3 linked regions of the Nothobranchius furzeri genome follow. Each later gene encodes a partner of the first gene's protein in a complex. Links are inferred from orthologs where the notes say so. Each region holds a gene or a part of one and is shown on either strand. Other genes may lie near its edges. The genes, in order: ap3d1, arf2b and AP-3 complex subunit sigma-1.

The links.
Region 2: the proteins of ap3d1 (region 1) and arf2b are in contact, whole or in part, in a cryo-EM structure (PDB 9C5B), measured with the Homo sapiens proteins. The link is inferred for Nothobranchius furzeri from reciprocal best matches to the Homo sapiens genes AP3D1 and ARF1. Residues at the interface, in NP_003929.4 of Homo sapiens: Lys48, Asp50, Phe77, Ile80, Glu81, Ser84, Asp107, Met110, Leu111, Thr112, Thr113, Asn114, Gln115, Arg117, Lys118; in NP_001019397.1 of Homo sapiens: Tyr35, Ile46, Pro47, Thr48, Ile49, Gly50, Phe51, Asn52, Val53, Glu54, Trp66, Lys73, Ile74, Leu77, His80, Tyr81, Gln83, Asn84.
Region 3: the proteins of ap3d1 (region 1) and AP-3 complex subunit sigma-1 are in contact, whole or in part, in a cryo-EM structure (PDB 9C5C), measured with the Homo sapiens proteins. The link is inferred for Nothobranchius furzeri from reciprocal best matches to the Homo sapiens genes AP3D1 and AP3S1. Residues at the interface, in NP_003929.4 of Homo sapiens: Leu18, Gln19, Val22, Arg26, Cys60, Thr63, Tyr64, Gln66, Met67, Leu68, Gly69, Tyr70, Asp71, Ile72, Ser73, Lys87, Phe88, Thr89, Arg92, Ile93, Leu96, Gln100, His103, Tyr126, Leu132, Thr133, Ser136, Tyr161, Lys164, Lys165; in NP_001275.1 of Homo sapiens: Met1, Lys13, Pro14, Arg15, Leu16, Ser17, Lys18, Phe19, Pro22, Tyr23, Glu25, Asp26, Gln28, Gln29, Arg42, Asp43, Glu44, Asn45, Val46, Cys47, Asn48, Phe49, Ser80, Glu81, Ser82, Glu83, Leu84, Gly85, Leu87, Asp88.

What each region holds. Positions count from the first base shown.
Region 1 is NC_091748.1:55,651,743-55,655,397, reverse strand, and holds part of ap3d1 (AP-3 complex subunit delta-1), read left to right. Parts: intron 1-732; coding exon 733-843; intron 844-1,457; coding exon 1,458-1,616; intron 1,617-1,891; coding exon 1,892-1,939; intron 1,940-3,229; coding exon 3,230-3,250; intron 3,251-3,564; coding exon 3,565-3,655. UniProt on the Homo sapiens protein: Part of the AP-3 complex, an adaptor-related complex which is not clathrin-associated. The complex is associated with the Golgi region as well as more peripheral structures.
Region 2 is NC_091756.1:54,229,943-54,232,718, forward strand, and holds the end of arf2b (ADP-ribosylation factor 2b), read left to right. Parts: intron 1-1,772; coding exon 1,773-1,897; intron 1,898-2,031; coding exon 2,032-2,193; 3' UTR 2,194-2,225; downstream 2,226-2,776. UniProt on the Homo sapiens protein: Small GTPase involved in protein trafficking between different compartments. Modulates vesicle budding and uncoating within the Golgi complex. In its GTP-bound form, triggers the recruitment of coatomer proteins to the Golgi membrane.
Region 3 is NC_091757.1:54,248,185-54,251,847, forward strand, and holds the start of AP-3 complex subunit sigma-1, read right to left. Parts: upstream 2,828-3,663; 5' UTR 2,617-2,827; coding exon 2,548-2,616; intron 591-2,547; coding exon 499-590; intron 1-498. UniProt on the Homo sapiens protein: Part of the AP-3 complex, an adaptor-related complex which is not clathrin-associated. The complex is associated with the Golgi region as well as more peripheral structures.

The sequences.
Region 1 (3,655 bases):
AGTAGTCTGTAGTAGCAAAATACCTTATTAAACACTTACTGATTATAATGAATGCACTTCATCTACAGGAGTCAGTTCAGTTCAAAATGACCTCAACTAAAGACAAAATATAAGAGTAATCTAATGATTTCAGAGGAGTTACGAGACCCCTGTTGACCTTTTTAGGACGGCACATTTTATGATACTTTTACATCAAGAAATTAGCTTTTTATCTTCATCTCTTTTCTGTGCGAAAGTTAAACATATCGTGCTTGAAATATAAGTCTGCTTTTGACACACGAGGGATCTAAAAGTGCTCTTTCATCTTTAGTCTTCGTGTGAGGAGAAGTGTTCAGTGAAACCAGGTCTGTTAGATGGGTGTGTGTGTGTTTTATCTTTGAAGCTATCAGCCCCGAAGTGGAAGCTGGTCCAGAAACACGCTTCAGCCTGGTTTATATAGAAGACTTGTTTTCGTGTTGGCTGTCACACTTGAGTTATCGCCGTCACAAAGAATCTCGCACACCAGGATTTAGTTTTGGAGCAGCCGTTTGTGTTGGTTTGTTGGATGTGCTTAGTGTTTAACGCATCGTCATTTTTGTTGGTGTGCCACTGGTGGCATTTTTGTTGGGACTCTTAACCTTTCTTCCCTCTCTCAACACAGAAGTGGAGAACAAAGCTGGTGTGGTCATGTTTGCTAATTCTTTTAATTTGGTGTTTTGTGTATGTGTGTGTTGCCTGTTTGTGTGAGAGCAGGAAGCAGCAACGGTAGCAGCAGCAGAAGCAGCTCCAGCGCCTGGGGCTATCTCTGTCACAACACCAGACTCGGAGCCTGAAGAACCCAAAGACACTGAAATGGAGGAGACGGTGAGTCACTGCCAATAATGTGATAATTGCTAAGTTTGGCCACAGTGCTTGAGATTCCAGTTCACAAAGGCCTGACAAGATGCAGCACATTGACAGTTCTCATTCTCACAAGTTTGTGTAAATGACCTGCCATCTTTCTACAACTTTCTCTGGTCTTGAGAGGAGATTTTCAATCACTTTGAAATTTTAGTCAGTTAAAACAACACTTAAGTTTCCTGCTTCTCCGTCCGCCTGGTTTAAAGCATAATTACAACTGCCGTGAGCGGTCCTGCCACAGCCTGCTGTGGCTAGTGCTACACTTTTATTTGGTCGATGAACTGAAAGAGCTAACGAATGGCCTTTATCGAGCTACCGTCATAGCAAACAGCTGTTGCCATAAAGCAAGTAGAGACCTCCCTCTAGTGTTCCTACTTGAACCACAAAACTGTAAGGTGCAGTTTCTGATCAGCAGAGAGCTGTACAACTGGAAGTTGTTTAAATGTCAGCCTCAAGAACCACTGAAACCAGTTTCAAAGCAATAGCGTGAAGTGTCAAACTCTTCAGTGTTTAAACATATTGTTGATGTTTTACAGATTTCTAAAAGTATTTTTCTTTGCTCCTGTTGTGGGGTTTAGAAGTCATCCAAACACAAGAAGAAGAAGCAGAAAAGGGAAAAGGAAGACAAGGAAAAGAAAAAGAAGAAGAAGCATCATCATCATCACCATCACCATGGTGACAAAGGTGGAGAGGAGTCTGTTCAGAATGGGACTGTGGAGGAAGAAGAGCCTCTCCCGGTCAGTATTAAAACATCCTAAAATGTTTTACCGATATATTTAGTTTACATTCAAAGTGTTCATCACCTCTGTTTCTACAAGCTTTGATAAACATAAACATTCAATTTTAACACACACACACACACACACACACACACACACACACACACACGCACGCACACGCACACACACACACACACGTTAGATCAGTTTGATGACACAGGCTCCTGTTGCCGGGGTGTCACACCGAGTGACTGCGAACGCCCTATCTGACCTGAGCTCTTCTCTTCTTTCAGCCCATGTCCAATTACTGCCTGCTGGCTGAGAACTCCTACATCAAGGTGGTGAGTGATGGAGATTGGGAAACTGCTGCAGAATATTCTTCTTTATTTTTCCACAACCATTTATCCTCATTTGGGTTGGAGCATTTAATTCCCCAGTTTAATTTCCAATGCATAAATGTGTCTTCATGTTTCTCCAATAGAACAGTTTCTATTTAAAAAAAGGTTTAAATTAGACACAGTCCTCTTGCATTGGAGTTAAACCTGATTCAGTTTTGGTGAATTGTTAATACAGATGGGCAAATAAACAATGAGATAAAAATGGTTTTGCTGATCAAACGAGGTGAATTATCTGTAACTTTTCACATGTTTCTCCATACAAGGTTAGTAATCACCAGGTGTGTCAAAGATGGCTATGGAGAAGGATCGGTGCCAAGTGTAGAATACAAGTAAAGTTCAGGGAAATCTTTTGTACACCATACACATGATCTGTGCTCTCGGTTTGGTAAACAGTATGCACACAACTATTTAAATGCAGTGATGTATTTATTTATTTAGTTAAATTGCCAAAACCAGAAATGTTTTAATTACCTGGATCAGTGGCTCTCGAGACGAGCAACATTGCAGAACAGACTTAACCTCAGTCCAACTATAGAAAAGTAAACTGTAATCTAATTTCCATTAAACGGAGCTGAATTTTAAGCTGGAGAAATAACAACAGCGGTGTAAATGTGCAGCAGCTGTTGGGTTGAGCTGTGTGTTTGCGTCAAAGATGGCAGCTGACCGATCTCTGGGTAACTTTACTGCTTAGGGACCATCTGCAAAGTTCAACACCTGACTTTCTTATTTCAATGACATTATTAGTAGCAACTGTAGTATCATTGATCACATGAAATATTATCAGATGTTAATGGCATTACAACTAGTGATTTATTGTTTTTTAATAAGAGAGTATTTATTTTCAGGTGCTGCTCCTTGTAAACGGTCCCAAAATTTGCTCCCTGTAATGGCGAATAACTCTTATCTGTCCAGCTTAAAATATCACTTGTTTTTACTCAAACTAGTATTTTCTGTGGTTGAAGTGAGGGGGAATTTTTGGTTCAAGAAAAAAAAATCCTGACATGTTCTCAAATTCACCAAACTTGAGATGCTCTATTTAGCAAATCCATGCACACAGATTACCAGAACAAGAGCACATGTGAAAATGTGTTAGCCTAGTTTACTAAATAAAACTGTAAACAGACGTTTCAATTTTTGACACCTGGCACTACCTGGACGTCGTAGACACATAAACATTCAACATAGAAGCAAAAATCAATCCAAATGCCTTCTTTCTTTTTGTTCTCTTTAAAGATGATGGAAGACGCTGACGAGGTATTTGTTAAAGTTCTGTCTCAGGCAGAAAATTTTAAACACTCTTTGATAGATGTGCTTTTCTCTGTCCTTGTTCTTTTTACAGGCTGTCCTCTGAGGCAGATTACACGAATGCCTCTGTAGCACAGCAGTGTTTGGTCTCTTTCTGAGAAAATCTCTGTGTTTACCCCCTCGTGTTCAGCCTATTTCTAGGAATTTCTGATGTTCATCTAAAATCTTGTTTCTTGACTATTTTCTCTAACTAGACTTGGGAGAGGCGCTTAATCTCTGTGATGCTAACTTTTATTTTCCTGTTTTATTCATTTGATCGTAAGGCGTACGACATCCAGGGTAACCTGCAGGATGGCAGTCAGGTGGTTGTGTCCGTCATATTTGAGAACAAGTGTGACAGCTTCCTGAAATCCA
Region 2 (2,776 bases), on another chromosome or scaffold:
CCGGTGAAAGTTTCTCTTAGCAGATTTAGCACTCTACATGCTTCTCGTTTGTTTTTGTAAAATGCTTCCAAACCTTTGAGCTACGCTGCCGGCGCGCCATGATATCTTGTTTCTTCTGTGTTTCTGATTCAAATGCTGATCTGGATCGCATGTGCCTCTAGGAAAAAGTGGCGACTGACCCGGACGTGACTACTGCACATGTGACTCGAGGAGAAAGACGGAGCAGGCGAGATTTAAAAAATGCTCATGGAATAAACGACTAGTTGACTATTACATTTATTGACTATTTTGTTTGCTGACGTCATCGTGACGCGTTAACTAGTCATGGCAGCACTAATTGTATTATGTACTGGTTGGCAATATAATCCAGTCTAAATTGCAGGGATGTGTATTTTTTAAATTTTGGCGATACATATCACGATACAGGGGAGACGATACGATATATTGCGATGCATTCAGTCAGACGTTACACGCAATTTTTTTTACTGAATTTGTTGTAAGAATGTTCAATAAACAGTCCAAACTGATACGTAACATGTTTAACATGAGGTATCTGAACCATGATGGAGGGATTTACATTTCAGTGGTGGAAACAAAACCCATTGCACACTGCTGCCAACTAGCGGGTGGTGATTGAATTGCACAAAACGAAAAGAAAATACACAAATGTTTTGCATGTAAATTCTTTCAAGAATTAGATACACGGCTTTAGAATATCGATATAATATTGCAGGAAAAAAATCACGATATTTTGCCATATCGATATTTTCTCACATCCCTACTAAATTGTATTCAAATATAGAGGTTTTTATGAATTACATGCTACAACGGCTTGTCATAGTCTGCTGTGGTGTGTGGAGCACTTGAGTCACTGACTCAGCAGCAACAACCTGACTCTGGGTAGCAGCTGCAGCGGTTCTGCCCCACACCGCTGCAGCTGCAGACGTCCACAAATAAATGGGATAGTGGAGATTTTTCTTCTGCTTGTAGATTCGCTACCATCACGCTTTTTTTCCCTGATCTCCACTTCATCGTGAGCGTCTTTCATGCTAGCTTAGCATTAGCCAGTCTTCCCGTAGTTTAACTCTTTATCCCAAACTTTAGGCTGTTTTTGTCTTTAACATGGGAAGGACTGCCTCCACCTTTTTACCACATTGTGTGCCAGTGAAATGTGCTCAGACTGTGGTGTGCACATTTAACGCTTTGAATCAGTACAAAATTAAGGAGTTTACTTGCTTTTGCCCCCCTAGTGTCCATTTGTAGAAATGAAACCAGAACCTATCTCCTCGGTCTGCATTTGTCTTTTTATCCCTTTAATCTCACAACTGAAGTGTCTCCCAGCATTCCTAAGTGTCTAGAGGGGTGATTCATTACTAAATTAAACAAATCGGCTTTGTTCATGATCTACAACATTTAGGAAATGTTCTGGAACCAGTCTGCAGTGCCAGGTAGGTTAGTTCAATTTTTTAAGTCCTAACGGACAAGACCAGAAACTGATGTTGCAAGTGTGATCTTCTGGCCACAGGGGGCAATAGGGGCTGGGTGGCCTTTCATTAACCCAGTAAAGGGTCATTTTGGCACGTACTGGCTCAAGAAAATGATTTAAAACTTTGAAAGTTGCAAAGTATTCCTTTATTGATTCTAACCATTTGATGTTTCAGCCCTTGTTAATTATTAACAGTGGTCTCAGAAGCCCCCTCCAACCAGGACACATGCTGAAACACAAACATGTTATCTGCTCACACATTAACTTGGTGTGTTTTTGCTTTCAGGGCTTATTTTTGTGGTGGACAGCAATGACAGGGAGCGAGTGAATGAGGCGAGAGAGGAGCTTTCCAGAATGCTTGCAGAGGACGAGCTCAGAGACGCTGTGCTGCTTGTTTTTGCAAATAAACAGGTAGGACTATCCAGGAGTGTTTAGCTACTATAGACTAAAGATTGGTTTTACTGTATTAAAGAGCTCATTTGTGTTTTGTATTTAAGAATGTCAGCTTTCAGATATCGTTGATGATGTTCACCTGCTCTTCCCAGGATCTCCCCAACGCCATGAATGCTGCAGAGATCACAGACAAACTGGGCCTACACGCTCTGCGCCAGCGCAGTTGGTACATCCAGGCCACCTGTGCCACCAGTGGGGACGGTCTCTACGAGGGTCTGGACTGGCTCTCCAACCAGCTCAAGAACCAGAAATGATCCATTCCACCTATTTGGGTTTTTGTTTGTTGTTAATTTTTTTTGTTTCAACACAGCGGCAGCACCAGACCCAGGCCCCCCTGCTCCCATCTGACCTAGTTCTGATCCAGCGCTTTCATGCTTTTCCTGCTTTCCCTTCTCGTCCATCCTCTCGGGGCTCGAGCTTGTGCTGCTCATGTGTGTGAGTGTGTGAGAGTGTGTGTGTGTTGTGTGTTCAGAGAGTGTGGGTGTGAAGGTGTGTGTGTGTGTTGGCTGGGATTAGGAGGAATCCCGGCGTGCCTTTTACACACCTGTGGAATCAGCAGTCTGGTTTTCAAGCCCCCCACCCCCATTCACCAACCTCATTCCTGCCCCCAACCCACCGCCCGGTCTGCCTCCACTCTCAGTCTTGCACGACCCCCTTCACCCCCCACCCTCCAGGCACGGGCATGGTTTTCATACGGCAAAGGAAGAGCAAGGGTGGAAGCCCCACCACCACTAAATCTGTTAACTAAACTCCCCCACCCCCTCCCACTAGATGTTGATTTGAGTTGTCTGATTTTGAACCGACCATCTTAACCTGTATCAGGTCAAAGCAAAGGGG
Region 3 (3,663 bases), on another chromosome or scaffold:
CATTTAAGCTATAATTTCCAGCTATTGCCTGGAACCGGTGCCAACCACGCCGCGATCGTGGGATTAGCCAACTAGTTACCATTAAACTTGCACTTCCCCATGGCGCAACCTCCCACTAGCTTAACCAGCTAACGTGCTCATCTAAAAATAGCCCCCTTTCACAACCGACTGAACGTGTACGGTTCCGCTTACGCCAACATCGTACACAAAAAATGCAGAACACTAACTAGACATTCATGAAAATTTTATAGAAATAAAAGATTCTTGTTTATTGGGTCTTTGGTCATTTAAGAACTCTGGAAACTGTATTTAAGGATTATTTGTCATTTTTACGGATTTTTAAGGCCTTAAATCTGGAAAAGCTAATTTAAGACTTTTTAAGGACCCGCAGATACCCTGGGGGCTTTGAGTGCACTAAAGAGACAACAACGCTGCGACTTTCACCCCAAGCTGCTGGCGCGGCTAACGTCACAAACCTACTCGACAGTCATGACTCACATTCCACCTTCTAGGAAATTGCAGACGTTTTCGTCTCTCTTGGACACCAAGTGGAAGGTTTCCCTGATGATCTGTTGCTCTATGTCTTCATTCTGCAGGATGGATCAAAAAGAGAAGCGGTTAAACAAAAACGAGCGCCGTGTCCTTACTCGGACACGGATCGAGATACTCCACCCGTCCCCTTTTCATCCCGAGGTGCTGAACTCCTTGTGTGAGCAGCACCAGGCAGACTCATCTCATGGCTTCAGGAATCTTTGAAACGTTCTACAGAGGCTAAAATTAAAAGAAAAGGTTTGGTAGTTTTACGTAACCTACAAATCATTTTACGCTCTTAGCTTCCCTGAAGGGTGCTAAATCCTCTCAAGGTCCATCACAGCTCAGCGTTAAGTCATGTGACCCGTCTACAGGCCCGGTAGCACTAAAGGCGGCAGGGCTGGAAAGTAAAAGGTGATTTTTACATTTCTCATGAAGATTCATCTTGATGATAAATGTTGTCTTTTACTGGTCTACATCTGGAACTTTTAATCTGTAATCCTGGTGTTAACCCTGGGATTAGACCTCCCCGAGCAGATGGGAAGCAAATCTAATTAACATGTGCACATATTCCACGTCTCCCATCCAGCTTCTTCGGCTCCATTCCTGTGCTGCCACACCTGTAGCTAGCAGAGCACGACCTCTTCAGTTCTGTCACTCAAAATAACAAAAACAACATTGTGCATCAAGTTTATATTTCCGTGCAGCGTTGACGTAAAATGACAAACTAAGTCAGGAATCGGCATGCTAAAGATAGATTGAGTTAGCGGTAGCTGTGAAATATTAGATCCTGTGAGACGGTAAGCTGACACCTCAGCTTGCAATACAACAGATGGTGTATACAGCCTCCTCTAATCTGATCAATTTCAATTTATCCACCTGAAACTCAAACTAATTCACGTCTGACCTAAAAGAGATTAAATAACACAGAGACACAAAATAAATGTCTAGTTTGCTTAGAAATAGTCAGTGAAAGCTTTGTTTTGTCTCTCAGTGCTGCAGGCATGCTCCTAATAGCGTTACTGTGTGCAGTTCAATAGGCAATATGATGAGTATATTTCAATTACGCCTTAAGCACCAAATTATCACGAATCAAAAAAATTACAGTAAACAAAAAATAATAAAAGGACTTTTTATGCCTGCATTACAAATATTTTATTATTTCTTGCAAACATTTTTGTGTTTTAAAACTCAAAAATGGCAGAACAAGAGCAAAACACAACGGTGGTGCGCGGTAGAACTAAGTGTACACCGCCATTCCCCACACGCTCTGTAATACGGAATCCAGCAATGTTTTTCCTTAGTTTGATTTCTGCACACTACAGAAAATAATCACTATTCGTGCACTAGACTTCCTGCTCCTCTGGGATACCATAGACGCTCTTCTGTGCTTTTATAGCAGCCGCGTCTCTCCTCGAGTCATTCAAGTAGAAGTTTTAATCACCACTAAACAGCATAACTCTGCTATATGTTGATGTAAGTCTGTGCCTGCAGTCTCTTATTGTAATAGCAGCATTAATTAGGTGAAAGGCGCCACTGATCTAAATCCTATTATGATGGCAAGCCCAGCTCCATGTTTAACCCGACAGCTCCATTTGTGTTAAAAAAAAAAACAGCTGACGTTGAACACGAGTTACTCACACGGGCGTCGTTAAAGTCACGTGACCCAAACAGATAACTCTATTAGCGTCACGCAGCTGGACCTGATCGAACGGAACACAGTCCTGTCTCACAGCCCGAGGCGGAATCGGAGAGCCTCGCTTTGGGTTTCTCCTCTTTAATTATTCATCGTTTCTTTAAAGGCCACCGCGGACCAAAAACCTACATCAGTTTATAAAAACATGCACTCGTTTTTTCACAGACCACGCTTCCACGCGCTTCCTGGCCACCGATATTGATTTTGTTGCTAAACATTATTTTGCTAAACACCGCTTTAATTCAGCCTGGAAACACGCGGTTAGAAGCTAAAGGAACACATGACAAGAACTAAAACTGCTTCTTTTTTCTTTTACTCACAAAATGTTCGTAGAATTTAGAAAGCCTTGGTTTCCCGTGGTTGTTGAATATTAAAATGGCTTTAATCATGATTGTAGGTGAACGGATGGAGGCGCGGCGCGCTCAGTCTACGCAAGACTGGTTTCTGGCGGCTCCTGAGCACCCAGACCGGACCGGTTTCGGGGTTGAATCCCGTCTCGATGTGATGTTAGGACGGGCTGACTCGGAGCTACAAAGAGCTACTCCTCCATCGCCTCTTTACGGAAATATTCCACGTCAAACCACCAGTATTCCTCCACCTCCTGCTACGGCGGCTCGGAGGGATTCAAACTTCGACTTTTCTTTTTTTATTTCTTTCTTGTCTCAGGGTGTGATGCTCCAAATGTCCACACGGGGGCGCAGGAGGACATTAAATCAAAGTTCTGACTCAAATCCGGGTAACAGCACCTTTTGTGAAATAAACAAATAAAATATATTAGATATAAATACAATACTACTACTACTAATAATAATAATAAATAAAATAATAATAATAATGAGATAATATGTAAACAACTTATTGTGAATTCTAAGGGAATTATTGAGAAGGTAAATAGTCACACTTGAGTTATTACAGAGGAATAGCTCAGAAATTCACATAAATATTTATTTTAATGACTGAAAATATGTTTATTGCCTGGAGAATTAAATCCAAGCAGCAAATACTAAAACTCTTAATTTAAAATGAAATTAGATATTTAGTTTTTTGTGAATTTAAGTTGTTTTTAATCATATTCCTTTTCAAATGCATGCTGTAATATACATGTAGCTACTATTGTGGTATTAGCTAATGACTGAAATAAAATATATGCAATAAAGAGTGTTTGATAGTTTATTTACTCCGAGTGAATATTGTCATTAATCAAGCCCAAAGGTAATAAAATATAAATACTGTGTTCAATTTCAAAGTTAGTTAGTTAGTTAGTTAGTTAGTTAGTTAGTTAGTTAGTTAGTTAGTTAGTTAGTTCTTCAAGGTATACATACTGCTTAATTTGACTCTGTTCCTGTTCATTCATACAGATTCATTTGGTTATTGTGGAAACATCGCTTACCTCTTGCAGTATTAGCAAAATATTACCGTGCAATCATTACAAATAT